Linked DNA regions of Caenorhabditis elegans. The protein of the gene in region 1 purifies or fractionates together with the protein of each later gene. This does not show direct contact. Each region holds a gene or a part of one and is shown in the gene's direction. Other genes may lie near its edges.

Region 1 (5,623 bases):
AAGCTAGACCAGCTGACTTCTCAACTCTTCGGTCATTGCTCTTTTCGTGTTCATTTTGTTACACTTGTACTGCGTGCACATATGAAGATGAATTGGCAACGAATTGTTTGCAAAAGAAGTGATCGGAAGCTTAACTTTTCAGTGTGTGGAGCAGTACAAATACCATGTAGCTTTGTTTTAACTTGTAAGAGAAAAAAAGAGATGAGTAGGCTGGTTATTTCCAATGATTTTGAGATATTTCATGCGAAAAAGTTTACTTTCATCGATCTCACGAAAAACTTTGCACAACTCTCCTGATCTGCAACCAGAAAATTCGTTGTCCTTTCTGTTTTCTTTCTAAATTTTTTTTCTATTTTCGCTTGCCGTCATTATTATTATCCAACATTCGAGAGTATTTAGAGAAAATGAGAGAAAAAATGTGTGCTTTCTTTACAATTGACAGGAGAGAGAGACGTCGGGGAAACCCTCTTCTTCTGATTCTCACCCATCCCGTTATCATGATCACATGACACTTCCCTCCACTCCGGGGTTCCCCGTACTGAATGTAATCAGTTGGTTGGTCGACTACCCAGTCGACGGTGAAAACTTCACGCGAGCATCGCAATTTTCATTTATTTTTTCTTAACTTTTCTCGGTATTAACGCATTTTTTTCTTTTGTACGATACGATGCGACATGATTCAAGGTTGCCTCGATTGATTTTACTGAATTCAGAAGTTCAACCTGACGATTAGTAATTTTATTTATTTTATTCATCGGAAATACGATTAAATACTTAAAGCATTCTCAATATAATTTTATTGACCGTTGACACTCACATGTGAGTTGAGTTGATTTTTAGAAAAGAGACGTAATGGGAAAAAACCACGTGTAGTGTTATCAGCCATTCTCGAATGTCGTTGAAATTGTGCAATACCCGGACAACCACAATCCAGCGAACAAATTGATAATGATAGTTTGAAAAATTGTGTCAACTTATTCAAATTTGCAACAATGTTTAAAAGTGCGTAGATCATGTCTGCGTCTCATCGGGAATGTTGACCGCCTGATGTGCGTGCGCATTCGAAACAATTATCATCGACGTTTTCGAATTATTTTCCTCTCGTCTTCTCGGCATGCGTTTGCGTGCAATCATACCGAAGAAACGGTATAGTATACTGTTCAATCAGTTAGTCACATGTAATAGTTGAAAGGGGTTCCCCATAATGACATGTGATCTTTTCTTCTTTTTCCTTTTCTTCGTACTGTTCTCATGACGTAATGTTCTCTTGATTGAAAAAGAAGTCGTTGTTGAAGGAGAATTGAAAGAGATGCAGAAAAACAAATTATCGATAAATTTTCTGTTGCTATTCAATAAGATTTTTCAACAGTAAGGATGTAGTTTGTAACATACGAATATTAACATATCTTTGCACCCCGTATTAAATCTAATTGGAATTAATTTTTTATGTATCAGCAAAAGATGAAATTTTCGACCGTCTAATAAAAAAATCATTACTTTTATTTTAATATTACTTGTTGCTTAAAAATGCATTTTCGCTCCAATGACATGGCCGAGGACCGTTTAAGGCCGACGTTAATATGCCCATCGTCCAGTGTCCCATACTCTTTTCTACCTCTCCTTTTTCTCTTACTTTCATTTTCTTTGTGTAAGTGTCTGGAACCAGTCTGCTCCTTCTTTCTCATCTATTTTCACCCTCTCACTTTACTATTTGTTCTCATTTTCTATAAATTGCAACCTACATAGTAACTCATAGAGAGTCCCACTAAATATTTATTTAGCCCTCATTCATCAGGCACTTCGATCTCTCTTTACTTTTCACTAATAAAGTTAATTTTACTTTTAATTTCAGATTTCATCTGATATGGATCACAATGCAGCTCTGACGACATGCAGTACCTCGGCCATTCCGAGACTTGCGAGATTGGCGACTGAACGAATTGCTGAGCTCATCGAAAATGGTAAATTTATTGATTTCGGCATTTATGGAAATTAAAGTTTCAGATGCTCTGCCAGAGTTTGATCACAAGGTAATCGCCTCATGCAGCAACGATATTTTTGAAGTTCTTCGCCAAAAAAAGAAACTCAATCATCAAACTTTGCAAACGATGTGCAGTACCTCACGATTCCAAATCAATAAAATTGATTTGATGGGCAACAAGGTTGAGTTGCAAGATTTGGAGCTTTGTTCGAACCAGAACCTGGTTTCATTCCGACTTGGCGATATTGATTACTTTCCAAGTAAGCAGTTTTTGTTAAAACATTTTAATACATTTTTTTTCAGATACGAACAAAATTCAAGTGGCTGACGTGCTTGATACGGCACTCAACCGAACTTCACGACAACAGCTTCGACATCTTGATCTGAGTGGACGACACAGAATCACTTCAAATTGGCCGACGTATGTAGCGAGAAAACTTCCTCGTCTGGAAAGTCTTGCTTTCGCTAACAGAAGCACTGCCAACGAAACTTTGTCACAAATTGGAGCGAGTTTGTTGAATCTTCGGTTCCTGGACATTTCGAGCACCTGTGTCACGGATATTTCTTGCATTTCAAGTCTTCGAAATCTCGAAGTCCTCATTATGTACAACCTGAACATTTTGAAAGGGGATGTCACAGAGACATTGTCTAATTTGACAAAATTGCGTGTATTAGACATTTCAAGAAAAGTCAACACAGACTATTTACAAGAAACGTCACAGGATGCTCATCTCGATTTGGCTCTTGGTATCTACAACAGATCTGTGGAAGCAATTGAGAGCGGGACAGCTACGCCTTGGGCGGAGCTAAGAGCAATTGATATGTCTGGTTTGAGCATTGTTCAATTTGGTACCGATCGAGCACTGGCATTTGTTGAGAAGATTATTGAGGCGCATCCGAAATTAGAGCAAATTAGCTTACTTGGTTAGTAATAGTTTTATTCTGGAAATGTAGTGTTTTAATTCTGAAATTACAGCAACTCCACTCGACTCGTCACTCATTGAGATTCCAAACAGAAATTTGCAAGTGATCAACACAGTCTCGAGAAGATCTATCATTTTTGCATTGTCCCATTATGCAAATCTGGACAGGCCTGCATTCATCACTCATGCTCTCCATTCTGTGTATTACCAGTTACAGTCCGGCTACGACAAGTTTTCACAGGAGGAGTTGAAAGAGTGTTTACGGCTTGTGTGTATCTCGATGCAGCAGGGGCTCAACACTTTGCCAGTGCAGATTGCGGGTAGTGCTTGTCTCTATCATCTTTGCAAGTACGTATTATTATTTTATAAATGTATTTTCCATGATGGAAACTTTCAGAATGAAGCGAATCAAGAGATTATCAGTAAAAGAAGTCAACAATTGCATTGAACGGTCACTTGACGCAGCAGAGCAGTATAGAAGCATGACGCAGCTGCAGAAGAACGTCTGGCTTACAATTTGTAATGATTATCTTCTTCATTTGGATGAAATTGATTTCTACCGTACCTGCAAAGTTGCTCTCGACACGATGCTTTTGAATCGTGATGCCAGCGTTGAGAGAATGACTATTGCAATTGTGTCGATTGTGACTCCAAAGATGCGACCATCAGAAGCAAAGATTCTAACAACTGAAACCAAATATGTATACCATCTTGTCAAAATCATGAATGATTATCTGGAGGCATATACTCGTGAACATCGAGTTGGACACGAACGAGACAATGAAAATGCACTGTATACTCTGAAGTTCACCCTGAGTGCACTCTGGAATCTAACAGACGAATGCCCGGCTACATGCAAAGCATTTTTGGATGCTGGAGGTGTTCAGATTGCGTTCAGAATTCTCAAAGCTTTTGATTATCATGGAAATGTGCAGACGAAGGTTCTTGGCATCCTCAACAACTTGGCCGAAGTGGAAGAATTGCATTTGGGACAGCTTTGCAAAAACGAGTATATTTCTGTTCTTATGTATGTTTTTTAATTCGTTGAATTCAATTTAACCAATTTTTTTCAGTTCTTGTCTTGACGGATCATTCAACGAAGTAGATTCGAAAGGACGGTATCGTGAAGTTGAACGATCTTATTTCGCTGCTGGAATTCTCGCTAATCTTCTGACCAACACTGATGGTTGGGAGAGTGAAAATCAACGTGACGAAGCTTGCGAAAAGCTCTTGGAGCTTATTGAGCAGTATCCCACACTTCCATCGGCAATGGTCTCCTACAAATCTTTCATTCCATTCAGTCGTATTGTTAGAGAGTCAAATTCGAATGGGGCCATCATGTGGTGTTTGTGGGGAGTTCATCACGTTCTTCAACATCGCGAGAAGAACAAAGCGCCTACGTATGAGAAAGGGTACGTTTTTGATTTACTTTTTTCTTAATTTCAAAAATCATTTCAAAACATTTTCAGATACATCGAAATGTTTATGGATTCCGGGCTTTCTCCAATCGTCGAGGATATGTCCCATGGACACTCGAAACACATTCACAATCTGGATATTCGTGTGGTTCATCTCGCACGAGAAATCATTGACATTGTCTCATGCCATTCACTATCTTCCAGCCCAGTTCGATTAGTCCGTCGAGTTTAGTCATTTTTTTGTTTATTTTTTTTATTATTATTTTTGTTTAGCTTTCCCATTTTCAAAGTCCCCATCTACAGGTATATCAAATTGAAACAAGTTATATTTATACGGGTTGATATTTTTATCCGTTTCACCCATAGCAATTAGATTGCATTAAAAACTAAATTAGATGTTTGGTTTCACTATTTTTCACTTCTCCCTGTAATATGTTGAACTGTGAATGTGATTACTTCTGTGGATATTTCATCGGTTGTTTCCATTTCTTTTTCTGTACCCATCCCTACTCACAAATTTGCTCGTCCCACTTTCTTTCGCGGGTATTTTTTCGGGAGTACCATTTCCTCCTTTATGTTTGAAATAGTTGTATATTTTCAGATTCTATTGTGAATGAAAACGTTGAAGCTCTGAAATTTGGTTTATTACTTGAGAAATTTAGAGATCATGCAACAGAAAACAATATAAAATCGGAAATACTGAAAACCAACACAGAAAAGATTTTTGACAAATTCATCACAGTGTTTAATCATTAATTACATGGAAAGTTACGGAATTCCGGGAATATTGAGATCTTTTCGTCTGTCGCGATCTTCATATTTTGCTTCTTCAATAACATCCGAGTGACTTCTCGGTGGAGCCAATCCAGACCTGTCATATCCCCAGTACTGACCAATCCGACGAGGATCTTGACCCGGTGGAAATGATGGAGGTTTTGAGTCTTCTTCTACAAAGCATTCTTCTTCCATTTTCTCTGATACTTTTCCAACTTCATATTCAATTGAAGATTTTGATGATTTTTGTAGTCGTTCATTTTCTTCGATTTGCTCAATTTCGTCGAGCCTGATTCCAACAATATTTTGCATTTGAACTGATGGTGCTCCACGAATCATTCTCAAACATGCCAGCGTTTCTTTTTCAATAGAAGCCAAATATGCCGCAGAATTAGCATCATTCATTTTTGGAACCAAATTTGGGCGAAGAAGTCGTGGAGTGAAATAGTGCGAGTATAATGATGTTCCAGGGATTTCATCGTCCATTCGAAGACCTAAAATGACTCCAGTTTCAAGGGCCCAGCATC
Region 2 (4,228 bases), on another chromosome or scaffold:
CACAGTATGCGGCTATGAGAAGATATCTGAAATAAAAATTTACTGGAATTTCTGGAAGAACTACATATTTTCTGTTGAGTATTTTTAGATACCTCATGGCGAGCGGCATGGCATCAAAACTGTTCTCGTTCTCCTTGGCCAGATTCTCTCCGACAACATTCCCGAGCTTTTCTCCAGATGATCTATTGAGGCATTCTTTTGCCAGTGTAGAGTCGAATTTATCGCCGGTTCTCCGCTCATCATACATTAGCCACGCATCAGATATCTGGAATTGTAGTGATGGATTTAACATTGTTTTTAAAAAACTTACAATTGATAGAAGAATATTCGGTGACTTGCAGGCCATGAACAGTGACTGGCAAGCAACGTGAAGAAATTGCGCGTTGATTTTTGGATTTGCACGAGAAATAAGAACTTTGGTAGTTTCTACTGATGGTGCAGGTATGTGAAACTCTACAACTGGAAGATGGCTCAGATTAATGTGATATTGGTTCAAGCAGGATGGTGCACTCGTCACAAATCGAATCGTTATTTCTTGTATAGCTTTGTAAGAATCGAATAAGCATTGTAATGGAACAGGAGGATAGTCTGTTATCGCTTGTGCATTATCAAGAAAAATGACAATTTTTCTATTAGTTTCGTCTGGCCTGAAAATATTTAAAATTTAATTAACAAGAAAATACACTTACCATTGGACATATTTATACAGGTTATCGCAAAAATTCTCAGCTCTGTCACCTCTAGTCTTGAAACCTAAACTCGATGCCAGTGAATCGAATAACAATTTCAGCGATCCATCCGCATAGAGGAAGTCTCCAAGCACACAAACCTATAAAAATAGATTGTGAATTTTGAAATTGTTTGAAATTTTTAATTGTTTTGAAATTGAAGTTGTAAAACACGAACCCAATCGTTTTCAGGTTTTCTCAGAAGTTGACGAACAATTTCACTTCTTCCGCTTCCATCTTCTCCGAAAATGTGGACATGAGAAATAATTCGCGAGTTGTTAAATAAGAGCATTTTTAGACGTCTTATCTCACAATTTTCCATTTTGCTAAAAATAAAAAACTATGATATGGATAAAATGACTGATTTTTCAGCCTTGAAATAAAAACAAAAAAAACTTTCTTCCAGTAAAAACTGTTTTCAAGTTGGCGGGTATTCAATGGAGCAGGTTTACTTGGCTAAACTAAGCGCGATGCGAAATAACGGAGTGTCGTATTGCAGCGCGAACCTTGAAAATAAAATCATTTGCTCTTGAAACTTTGCGATTATTAAAGTTTTGATCGGATCTCCCTCAATTTTTCGGCGCCAAGAATTTATTTTTTGCAAAAACCTTCAATGGAACGATTATTTTCCAACGCAGGTTTCCCTATTTGAATCTTTGCCACATAGACCGGTTCATTTTATTCATTATTCGATTCTTGAACAAAAACAATCTTTTTTTCTTTGGCTTATCGTTATCAAATACCTAACTTTGGAGCTTTATTAATATTCTAGGTTCATTTGTAATTCATCTTTTAACGTCTGTTCTTCATTCATCCTAGGTGACATATTTAATCGATATTACCCTTCGCGATTCCCCCCTCCTACCACCAAGCACCATCTTGGTGTGGGGGAGTTGCGCTCCGTTGGACAATCGCTGCACGCGGAACATTCGAATCCCATTTGTCGATATTCTTGTATTTAGTGCAAACAATTCTTAATAGGCTCCTCACGTGACCTTAACATGTTCGCCGTGTAGAAACTATTTACACGTTGTGTTCTATTTAGATAAAATCATAACCTTTCTGTCAGATTTTGTAAAACGTCCAGTATTTCTCAACTTACCAATTTTCTACTAGCAATCAAAGGTTCTTTCTCACTTTTTATTTTATTATCTCTTGGAACTTGCAAACAATCGTTTATTGCAGCGAAAGGCCTCAATATGCTAAGAGCCACCAACAACAGACGAACATCGAATAATGTGGAAAAGGATAGCCTCCAGGTACAAGGTGTTTACAAACTAAAAACTATAATTATCATTCAGATGGCTAAGCACGGAAACGGACCATTGAAGCCCGTCAATGCGCAAGGTCTTCAGACGAAAAGAGAAGCTCGAGAGATTCTTGCACTCAAGCCATCCAATCCAGCTCCAGTCGAAACTGCGCAAAAGTCACAGAGAATCAACCTCCAGGATGCTGAGACTAAATGTCTTGCTATGGCCGACGACATATACAAGTATCTCGTTCATCACGAGAAAAAGTATCTTCTTGAGGAGTGCTTCATGGAGGGAGGAGAGCCCACTCCCAAGATGCGTCGCATTCTCGTCGATTGGCTTGTCCAAGTTCATGTTCGATTCCATCTCACACCTGAGACACTTCACTTGACTGTCTTCATTCTGGATCGCATGCTTCAGAAGAAGGTCACCTCCAAGGCGGATCTTCAGCTTCTTGGAATTTCAGCTATGTGAGAGTTTTTATTCAATTTTAAAACGTAACATATAGGGATTACTAATTGTGTATCCTTTAAAAATGTTTTGTTTCAGGTTCGTTGCCTCCAAGTTCGAAGAGGTTTACCTCCCAGACATCCACGACTACGAGTTCATCACTGAGAACACATACAGCAAGAAGCAGATCTTGGCAATGGAGCAAACAATCCTTAACTCGTTGAACTTTGACTTGTCCTGCCCATCTTCGCTTGTCTTCCTCCGCTGTCTCTCAAGAATTCTCTCCGAAAACGATGCCAGCCCAATCGATAATCAAGCTTTCTGTTATACTTACAATATCTCCAAGTGTCTCGGAGAGCTCGCACTGCTCGATTCGGTTATGGCCTCGACCCCAAGGTCCCACATTGCTTCTGCTTCGATGATCATCGCTCTTGAAGTTCATCCTGTTGACGGAATCGAGGCGGAGAATGCTGTATCGGTCATTTGGTACATTTTAAAGCTTATATTTTTATTTTAATATCAACATTTTTAGCAAACAGCTCGGAGCCTCTAAGAAAGTCATTGAGGATGCTGTCGCTTTGCTCGCCGAAGTCTCGTATAAGAACTTCAAACAGGGGAAGCTTGTCGCTATTAAGGTATTGAATCATCGAAGTATTCCAATAAACATAATTATTTGCAGAATAAGTATCAATCAAGCAAGCTTGCACAAGTTTCCAACTTGATGACCGACGACGTACTCGAGAAAATCAATCGGATGGGCCAGAATGCAAAAGTGGACGCATCAGAAATGGAATGAGCACTTCGATCCGAAATAAACATTTTGTACCATTCAGTCTTTCTTGATTCTTATGTTTCTTCCTTCATTGCTTTTCTTTTCGGCTCCTTTCCATTTTTTAACTCCTCCAGTCGTTTCCACGTCAATCTGGTCACACCCGTACATTGATTGTAAATTGGTGAACATTCGTTGAGCGACCATACACCACCTCCCATATTATTCAATTTGTCCATTTTGAAATTTAAAATTTCACTAAAAATTTTTATCACAACTTTTCGCGCCCTCTTTTGTATCGATCTCGTATTTAATTATTGAAACCACACTGCTGTAAGACTCACCGTCCTCATCTCTGTTGTTGTAACTAGAAGGACCAAAAACTTTCTGATGAAACCTATGTGCTATTAAATTTTGTTAAATGGAATTACTATAAATCATGTACTAAATAAGTGATGGAGTAGTCTGAAGGTTCTAGGGGGTCTCCTGCGCAATGACGCGACGAACTTAAACCAGTCAACAAGCATAAAAACAAGTAGGCTCCACCCACTTTAACCTTGAATTCTGTGTGCCGAACCCGGGGTCAAGTGGCTTTTCGGCCAATTACTCATCGGTTTGTTACAGCACTGGCGGTCACTTCTCGCCGAATTTTCTCAAAATGTGTAATAATGAAGCTGCAATTTCTCTGCGTATCAATCTCTAACGCTCTGCTGTAATGACTACAAAAGTGACCATCGAAAACGAGAATTTCATACATTCCACTCGAAATGGTTCATTCATCAGTTCTAATTGTTCTTTCACTGACTGCTTCTTCATCTGCATTCCTTCTAGAAGGACTCGGTTTAGGATTAGGTCCACAAAGACCTCAACAATGCTGCTGTCCACCACCTCCACCACCTCCACCATGCGGAGGCGGATATGAAGCTCCACCTCCACCACCACCACCATCATATGCGGGTGGACCATCATACGCTGGACCATCTTATGCTGGATCCTACGGACCAGGACCATACAGAGCCAAGTCAAAGAGA
Region 3 (7,067 bases), on another chromosome or scaffold:
TCAACTCACTTTGAAGAGGTCGCTCCACTCTCAACAGTATCTGTATTCCGCGAGTTCACATCCCATAGATAAATAGTCCCGGTATTTGCTACGGCAATCGCTAGTACATCACCTTCCTTATCCCAAGCTATGTCGATAAGTTTTCTGGAAGTTGAAAAAAGTGTAAATCACGAAAATCTTCTTTTTTCTTTACATTTCAAAAAACTCTGAACTCACCCAGTTGGATTCAACGCGTCAATAACATTTCCTTTCTTATCGTAATAGATGACCGTGTTATTGGCGCTGAAAAGTATAATTTATTGCTTGGAAAAGCTCAGCTTTAAAATGCATTTAAAAAGCTTCAAATTCAGAAATTCCAGAACCGATAATAATAAATTGAGAAATAATGATGAAAATTCAAATTTTCAAAAATCTGAACAATCAGCGATTGGCTCCACCCATTTTCAAACCAATCAAGGTCTTTGCAAACGCATTGGTCATGAAGCTCCCATTTTGGAAAAAAAATCAAACAGGACAATTAGCCAAAATTGAAAATCCTACTTCTAAAAGTTGGCTTTAAATTCTTTCTCGATTTTTTTCGTCTTTTTTGGAGTTTTTGAATTTTGAATATTTTAAAGAAAAATCTTTAAAAAAGATACTGTTAAAAATAAGAATTAAACAAAAAATAAACAAACCATGCAACAGCTACAGTATGCCCATTTGGTCTCCATCGATGAATAATCGGTCCACTTCCGTGCTCTTCTTCGCCTCTTCGATATTGAAGCTGAGCAGAAACACATTTAAATACTTCCTGATTTTTTGTGAGAGTACACGGAATTACCTTTAATGACATTTATATGAATGAAGATCTCCGTTGTTTTCGACGTTTGCCACTGCTCCCCTATGATTTGTCACTTATGTCACGAGCCTACAAATAATGGTTACAAAAAATGAAGTACAAATCATTGAGCTACCCGAGCCTTTGGGGAGTTGTTGCCTTGGTAACCGGGCTACACAGTGTGTGTTGAGCACGCAAATTGAGGAAAGAACAGGGGAAGTGGAAGAGGGGATTTGATCATTCCCGGTTTGGGAATAATGACAATTAGTAGAATTTTCTGGATTCTCGAGAAAAAAAAACAAACCGCAATTTCATCTTTTTATGTGAATATCGAACAAAAATATTTGATAAAATTATTCATTTACACATCTGGGGCAAATACATTTGTAATGGGAGAGCATTACGGGTACACTAAATTTTGAGAAGTATCTCATAGCGAAAACTACAGTAGTTTTTTTAATTAGTACTGTAGCACTGCTCCGATTTTATTTTGGTTTTTGGCCATTTATTCCAAGTTTAGCCAAAAAATGCACAAAAATGCCAAAAGGGTATTCTTTTTTTTAATTTTTCAATATTAAAATTTTTAGAGAAAACTTTATAATCAAATTCCAAAACGACTCCACCTTTAATAACTTCAAATATTAATTTAATTTTAAATTTTAGACTTCAGAAAATTATTCTTAATTTTTGTTCTAAACAGATTTCCTTTTTAAAATCCTCCTTTTCTCACATGTCACATTTTTCATTGTCATTGCCAACTTCTAACATATGACGTTCAATATATTTTTAACGTTTGTTATCTCTTTTCAATATATCTTCTCTAAAAATCAAATTTCAGCTTCTCCACCATATCCCCGAAAATCTTCAGTGTAACCTCCACAGGAAACCGGTCCGAGGTTCACCGTCCACAGGCAAAACTGGCGTCGAATACACAGCCGACATCGAATCGTACGACACTTGGCCGCCGTAAGGCAATTTCTGACGACAATTTTCCCGTCGTTGAGCCGATATTGAAGAAAATGTGAGTGCGTCTGCTGCGCATCGATCGATATTATTTGGTTTATGACCCCTGGTTTCTCATTTTTCGGTTTGAATATTAAATAATTGAACGAATTAAAAAAAGAAAGAATAATTAAAATCACGTGATTCTTTTTATCAATTAAATTTTCGTGTTTAGTTTTTTAATCCGCATTTCAAAAATTTTCGCTTTTTCCGTAAAAATGGCAAGTTCCACAAAAGTTTCCTTACGGTACCCGTTATTTTTTTTTGAAAATTTCGCACAAATTGTCATCATTTTCAGTCGTCCACCTCGTCCACAGGTTATGTACTCACTGAAGCCAAAAGTTGTGGAATTTGACAAAGTATGGGTGCAGTTGAGACCATCTATCATTGATATCATCAATTTGCGGCCGATCACCAATGTTCAGTGGCATCACAAGTTTAGGTAAGTTTTGAAGGAAAAGTTTGATTTTTTCCAGTGATAGAAATTTCAGAAAGTATCATTTCTGTCATTCAACAGATTTTTCGAATTTTTAATTTGAAAAAAAAGATTTTTTGGGATTTTTTGTTCAAAAATGTCTTGATTTTTGGCCAATATCTAAAGTTTTTGTGCAAAAACTATTTATATATAAGGCAAAAATTACCTTTTTGTTATTAATCCGATTTTGTAAAAATGTTATGTTTTAAAAAATCAATTTTTGAAGTTATTTTCAGCAATCGCGTTGTTTGTAAGCAACAATCCTAAATTCGATTTTTGACAGAGAAAAAAAGTTTTTCGAGGATTTTGTCCACAAAATCCGAAAATTTTTTGACAAAACTATTTTTTTTTATTTCACGTGTATAATTCACTGAAAAACTCAATCATTATTCCAAGAATTGTAAAAAATTGCTCCAAAACACTAACATTCACTTATTTTCCGATTAATTCAGGATTATCCGAAAAATCGATTTAAAAAAACATTGTTGCAAAATCGGATTGATGATCTTATAACCTCTTAAACATACTTTTTAAAACCATTTTGGTAGTATTTTTTGAACAAAATCCATTTCTGGGAAAAAAACATGAGAATTTTTGAAAAAAAAAAAGATTTTTGTACTTTCCAAAGAAAAATGTCAAGAATCACAACTTTACGATACGAAAAGCTGGATTTTTATAAATTTTTAATTTTTTTAAATATTGTTTTCAGTGACGTCTACGACATTTGTGTATCGATACCGACTCCATTGAGCGAGCGATTGTATAATGAGGTATCTCGAATTTGACGTTTTCGACGAAAACCGAAAAAAAAAATTAAAATTCTACTTTTTTCTTCGGATTCTACTATAAAAAAGGATTTTCTAGCGAATTTGGTGATGAGACTACAAGATTTCCATTTTTACAGGTGAAGGCTTGCATTCAAGAGCATGTTCGACAAAAGCGTCAAGATATCGTCGATGTTGATCCGGATCTGTTGCTTCAGGAATATCACAAAATGTGGAGAGTTTTCCATGAGGGAGCCATCTTTATTCACCGTCTCTTTGGGTTCGTGTGAAATTTCTTCGGAATTCTTTTTAAAATTCAAACAATGATCTGAAAATGCTCCAAAATGCATTTTTGTGAAACGTTTTCACTGCGTCGTTGTAGAAGAAAAAGAATTGAAAAATACCCAAAAAAAAGAGAATTAAAAAAAAACATTATTTACAGATACCTGAACAAACAATTCGTAAAACAGAAGCGATGCACCGATTTGGACAATTTCGCGCAGTACGCCGCTTTTCTGCAGATTCCAGACGTCAAGGAGATCGGATGTGTGAGTTTGCGACAAAAAAATTGCGCCAGGTTTTTAGAAATTTCTTTATGTTTTCGACGAAAAAGTGGGTGGAAATAAAATCCTAGGCCACGGAGATGACTTCCGTGGCCGATGATTATCAGTTAAGACCACAGTGCGCTTTTTCAAAATTTTGTGTTCCTGGAAAATAACTATTAAATAATTGAGAAGTTTTGAACCAAAAAAACAAATCGAAATTTTCAGCTCGCACTAGAAATCTGGAAAGAAGACCTCGTGAAGACCATTCTCCCGCAGCTCGTCAAACTTCTGCTCATCGCGATTGACAATGATCGGAAAGGAAACTTCCCGCATATCGCCAATGAAGTCTCCGGCGTCATTAACAGCTTCGTTAAGATGGAGGAGACGGATTTCGACGTTGTACCGGCAGAAGGAGCACGCTATAAGGCTCGCGAGTCGACAACGGCGTTCTATCAGGAGAGCTTTGAGAAACCGCTTCTTACGGATACGGAACAGTACTATTCGGCGCTCGCACAAAAAATGCTCACCGACCTCAGCTGCAGTGAGTACATGGAACAGGTTATAGTGCTCCTCGAACAAGAAGAGATGCGTGCGAAGAAGTATCTCCACGAATCGTCGGTGGAGAAAGTTATCACGTTGTGCCAGAAAGTTATGATAAAAGCTCACAAGGATAAACTTCACGCAGTGTGCCATGATCTCATTACTAATGAGGAGAACAAGGACCTCCGCAACATGTACAGACTGTTGAAGCCCATTCAAGCGGGACTCTCGGTAATGGTTAAGGAGTTCGAGGAATATGTGAAGAAGAAGGGGCTCGAGGCGGTGTCGAGGCTCACCGGCGAGAATGTACCCCAGCAATTTGTGGAGAATGTGTTACGGGTGTATAACAAGTTCAATGATATGAAGACTGCTGTGTTCATGGACGATGGCGAGTTCTCTAGTGGACTCGACAAGGCGTTGCAGGGAGTCGTGAACTCGAAGGAGCCAGGACAGTCGGTGCCGAAGGCCAGTGAGCGGTTGGCGAGATATACGGATGGGTTGCTCAAAAAGTCCACGAAAGGACTATCGGAGACGGATTTGGAGGCGAAACTCGACAGTGCAATTGTGATTTTCCGCTATATAGAGGATAAGGATATATTCCAGAAGTTCTACTCGAAAATGCTCGCAAATCGGCTTATAGCAAGCACATCGATATCGATGGACGCCGAGGAGCTGATGATTAACAAGTTGAAACAGGCGTGTGGTTATGAATTCACCAGTAAACTGTCACGAATGTTCACCGATATCGGGCTTAGCCAGGAGCTATCGAACAACTTTGATAAGCACATTGCGGACATTAAAACTGTGCAGCCCGACGTGAAGTTTGTGCCGACACAGACGATGATTCTGCAGGCAGGTAGCTGGCCGCTCAACGCTCCACAGCTCTCTACGAATTCGAATAATCAGACCGCACAAGACGTGGCCAACTTCCATCTGCCACGTATCCTGCAGCCTGTGATTCAGGAGTTTGAGAAGTTCTACACTGGGAAGCACAACGGGCGAAAACTGACATGGCTTTTCAATATGTCACAGGGAGATGTCAGGCTTACATACCTCGATAAGCAGTATGTCGCACAGATGTATGTCTATCAGATGGCAGCGCTGCTTTGCTTTGAACGTCGCGATGCTATCCTCGTTAAGGACATCGGAGAGGAGATTGGTGTGAGCGGTGACTATCTGCTAAAGACGATTCGAACGATTTTGGACGTTACCCTGCTGACGTGTGATGATCAGAATCTAACGGCCGACTCGTTGGTTCGTCTGAACATGTCGATGACGTCGAAACGGATGAAGTTCCGGCTTCAGGCGCCACAAGTGAATAAGGCTGTCGAGAAGGAGCAGGAGGCCGTCGCGAATACTGTAGGGTTTTCAGTTTGTTTTTCATTGGCGAGGGCCTCAAGTTATGACTTTTTGAGTTCAAGCACTAAAAATCTGTATTTTATTTAGTCCTAGACTTTAAAAATTTTTAAACGATCTCAAAAACCAAGTTTTAAAATGAGACACCTTGAAAAATTCTCAGCATTTTTATGACGGTGGAAATTAAAACAAGCCAAGCTCAACTAAAATCTCAAATGCTGAAAAATCTTTAATAAAGAGTTTAGGTGTTTTTTCGAAATTTTAAACCTTCGTAAAATTTTTTTAAATGTCTCACTATGAAATTTGGTCTTTTGTGGAAACTTTGAGTCAATTCAATCAATTAAACAATTTATCTGCTCCCTTTTTGAGCCAATGAGCCTAAATCAAAGCTATAAACTGTGGCCTAGAATTCTGAGAGACTAGACGTATTTAGTTAGGCCCCGCCTCGATGCAGCTAGATTATCCAAACACGTGTGCCTCGCAATCGTCAATATTAGTTCCAGGTTTCACAAGACCGAAAGTACTATATGGAGTGCGCAATTGTCAGAATTATGAAGACCAGGAAGGTTCTGAAACACAATGCACTTGTCACTGAGGTTTGTTAGATTTTTGTTGTTGGTCAAAACCCTGTAAAACGAGATATTCAACCGACTGAAAATGCTTTACAAAAATATTTTTGTTTGAATTTTGAACCAAGAAACTGAAAATCAAAAAGTGGATTTTCCTCCAAAAAAGAAAAACAAACAATTTTAGAAACAGTTTTTGGTCCGGAACCCCCCAAAAAAAAGCGAAAAAAATCTTTTTGCAAAATGTGCTATTCCACATCAAAAATGCGGAAAACAACATTTTCTTGCAGATAATGGACCAAACGAAAGGCCGCTTCTCGCCCGACGTACCATTCATCAAAAAGAGCATTGAGGACCTTATCGAGAAAATGTATATTCAGCGAACCGATCAAAATGACGAGTATCAATATTTGGCCTAATTCTCTCCCCCTATTTGCGTGTTTTTTCCCTGAGAGGCAAAAAACTAAAATTTAAAATTTACACTGTGTAAATGACTCTGAAACATGCCATTCAAAATCCCCACTATAATTTTATTTTTCAAGATTTTCTAACAATGATTGCTTTTTTTCCAAATTGAACTGTACTGAAAGTAAATCCCCTCGCCCCTCATCTTACATATTTTATATCATTTTTTGCTGGAGCTGCGCAACGGGGAATCATCAAACTGTTTATTGGAATACCTATTTTTATACTTTTGGAGCCCTCAAAAACTGAAAATCGCGGGAAATTCTCTGTTACTCCCGACAAACGGCTATTTGCCTATAAAACCAACCAGTCCGTAGCCTCTCCTTGAAAATGTATATGTACTATATTTGTCTTTTTTTTGTGTTCTATCCTCCCTCCTCAAGCAACTATTTTTTCTCCGGAATCTCTATGATTACGATAAAGTAGACAATTATCCTTCCCAAAATTCCAATTTTGTTTCATTTAAATTTTCACGTTTTTGAACTTGAACTTTGATCCACGACACTCTTACGGCACGTGGCAAGTCATAATGGAAAA

The links. The genes of interacting proteins can lie anywhere in the genome.
Region 2: the proteins of zyg-11 (region 1) and cyb-1 purify together in Caenorhabditis elegans (affinity purification with western blotting, with the first as the bait; one study listed by BioGRID). This does not show direct contact.
Region 3: the proteins of zyg-11 (region 1) and cul-2 purify together in Caenorhabditis elegans (affinity purification with western blotting; 2 studies listed by BioGRID, with this or other methods). This does not show direct contact.

The regions. Positions count from the first base shown.
Region 1 is NC_003280.10:8,015,828-8,021,450, forward strand, and holds zyg-11 (Early embryogenesis protein zyg-11), read left to right. Parts: upstream 1-1,852; 5' UTR 1,853-1,864; coding exon 1,865-1,961; intron 1,962-2,004; coding exon 2,005-2,241; intron 2,242-2,284; coding exon 2,285-2,905; intron 2,906-2,957; coding exon 2,958-3,252; intron 3,253-3,301; coding exon 3,302-3,931; intron 3,932-3,977; coding exon 3,978-4,316; intron 4,317-4,373; coding exon 4,374-4,554; 3' UTR 4,555-4,958; downstream 4,959-5,623. Other genes in the region: hda-2 (Putative histone deacetylase 2), read right to left, coding at 5,091-5,623.
Region 2 is NC_003282.8:10,733,529-10,737,756, forward strand, and holds cyb-1 (G2/mitotic-specific cyclin-B1), read left to right. Parts: upstream 1-1,913; 5' UTR 1,914-1,927; coding exon 1,928-1,987; intron 1,988-2,029; coding exon 2,030-2,448; intron 2,449-2,527; coding exon 2,528-2,914; intron 2,915-2,960; coding exon 2,961-3,063; intron 3,064-3,107; coding exon 3,108-3,224; 3' UTR 3,225-3,645; downstream 3,646-4,228. Other genes in the region: orc-5 (Origin recognition complex subunit 5 C-terminal domain-containing protein), read right to left, coding at 1-26, 93-265, 311-647, 690-829, 907-1,050; grl-21 (Ground-like domain-containing protein), read left to right, coding at 3,965-4,228. UniProt on the Caenorhabditis elegans protein: Essential for the control of the cell cycle at the G2/M (mitosis) transition.
Region 3 is NC_003281.10:13,685,614-13,692,680, forward strand, and holds cul-2 (Cullin-2), read left to right. Parts: upstream 1-2,037; coding exon 2,038-2,066; intron 2,067-2,117; coding exon 2,118-2,261; intron 2,262-3,003; coding exon 3,004-3,064; intron 3,065-3,198; coding exon 3,199-3,338; intron 3,339-3,500; coding exon 3,501-3,606; intron 3,607-3,828; coding exon 3,829-5,502; intron 5,503-5,996; coding exon of another isoform or gene 5,997-6,002; coding exon 6,003-6,095; intron 6,096-6,355; coding exon 6,356-6,484; downstream 6,485-7,067. Other genes in the region: WD repeat-containing protein dyf-2, read right to left, coding at 10-144, 217-282, 675-763, 821-832. UniProt on the Caenorhabditis elegans protein: Core component of multiple cullin-RING-based CBC (Cul2-ElonginB-ElonginC) E3 ubiquitin-protein ligase complexes which mediate the ubiquitination and subsequent proteasomal degradation of target proteins.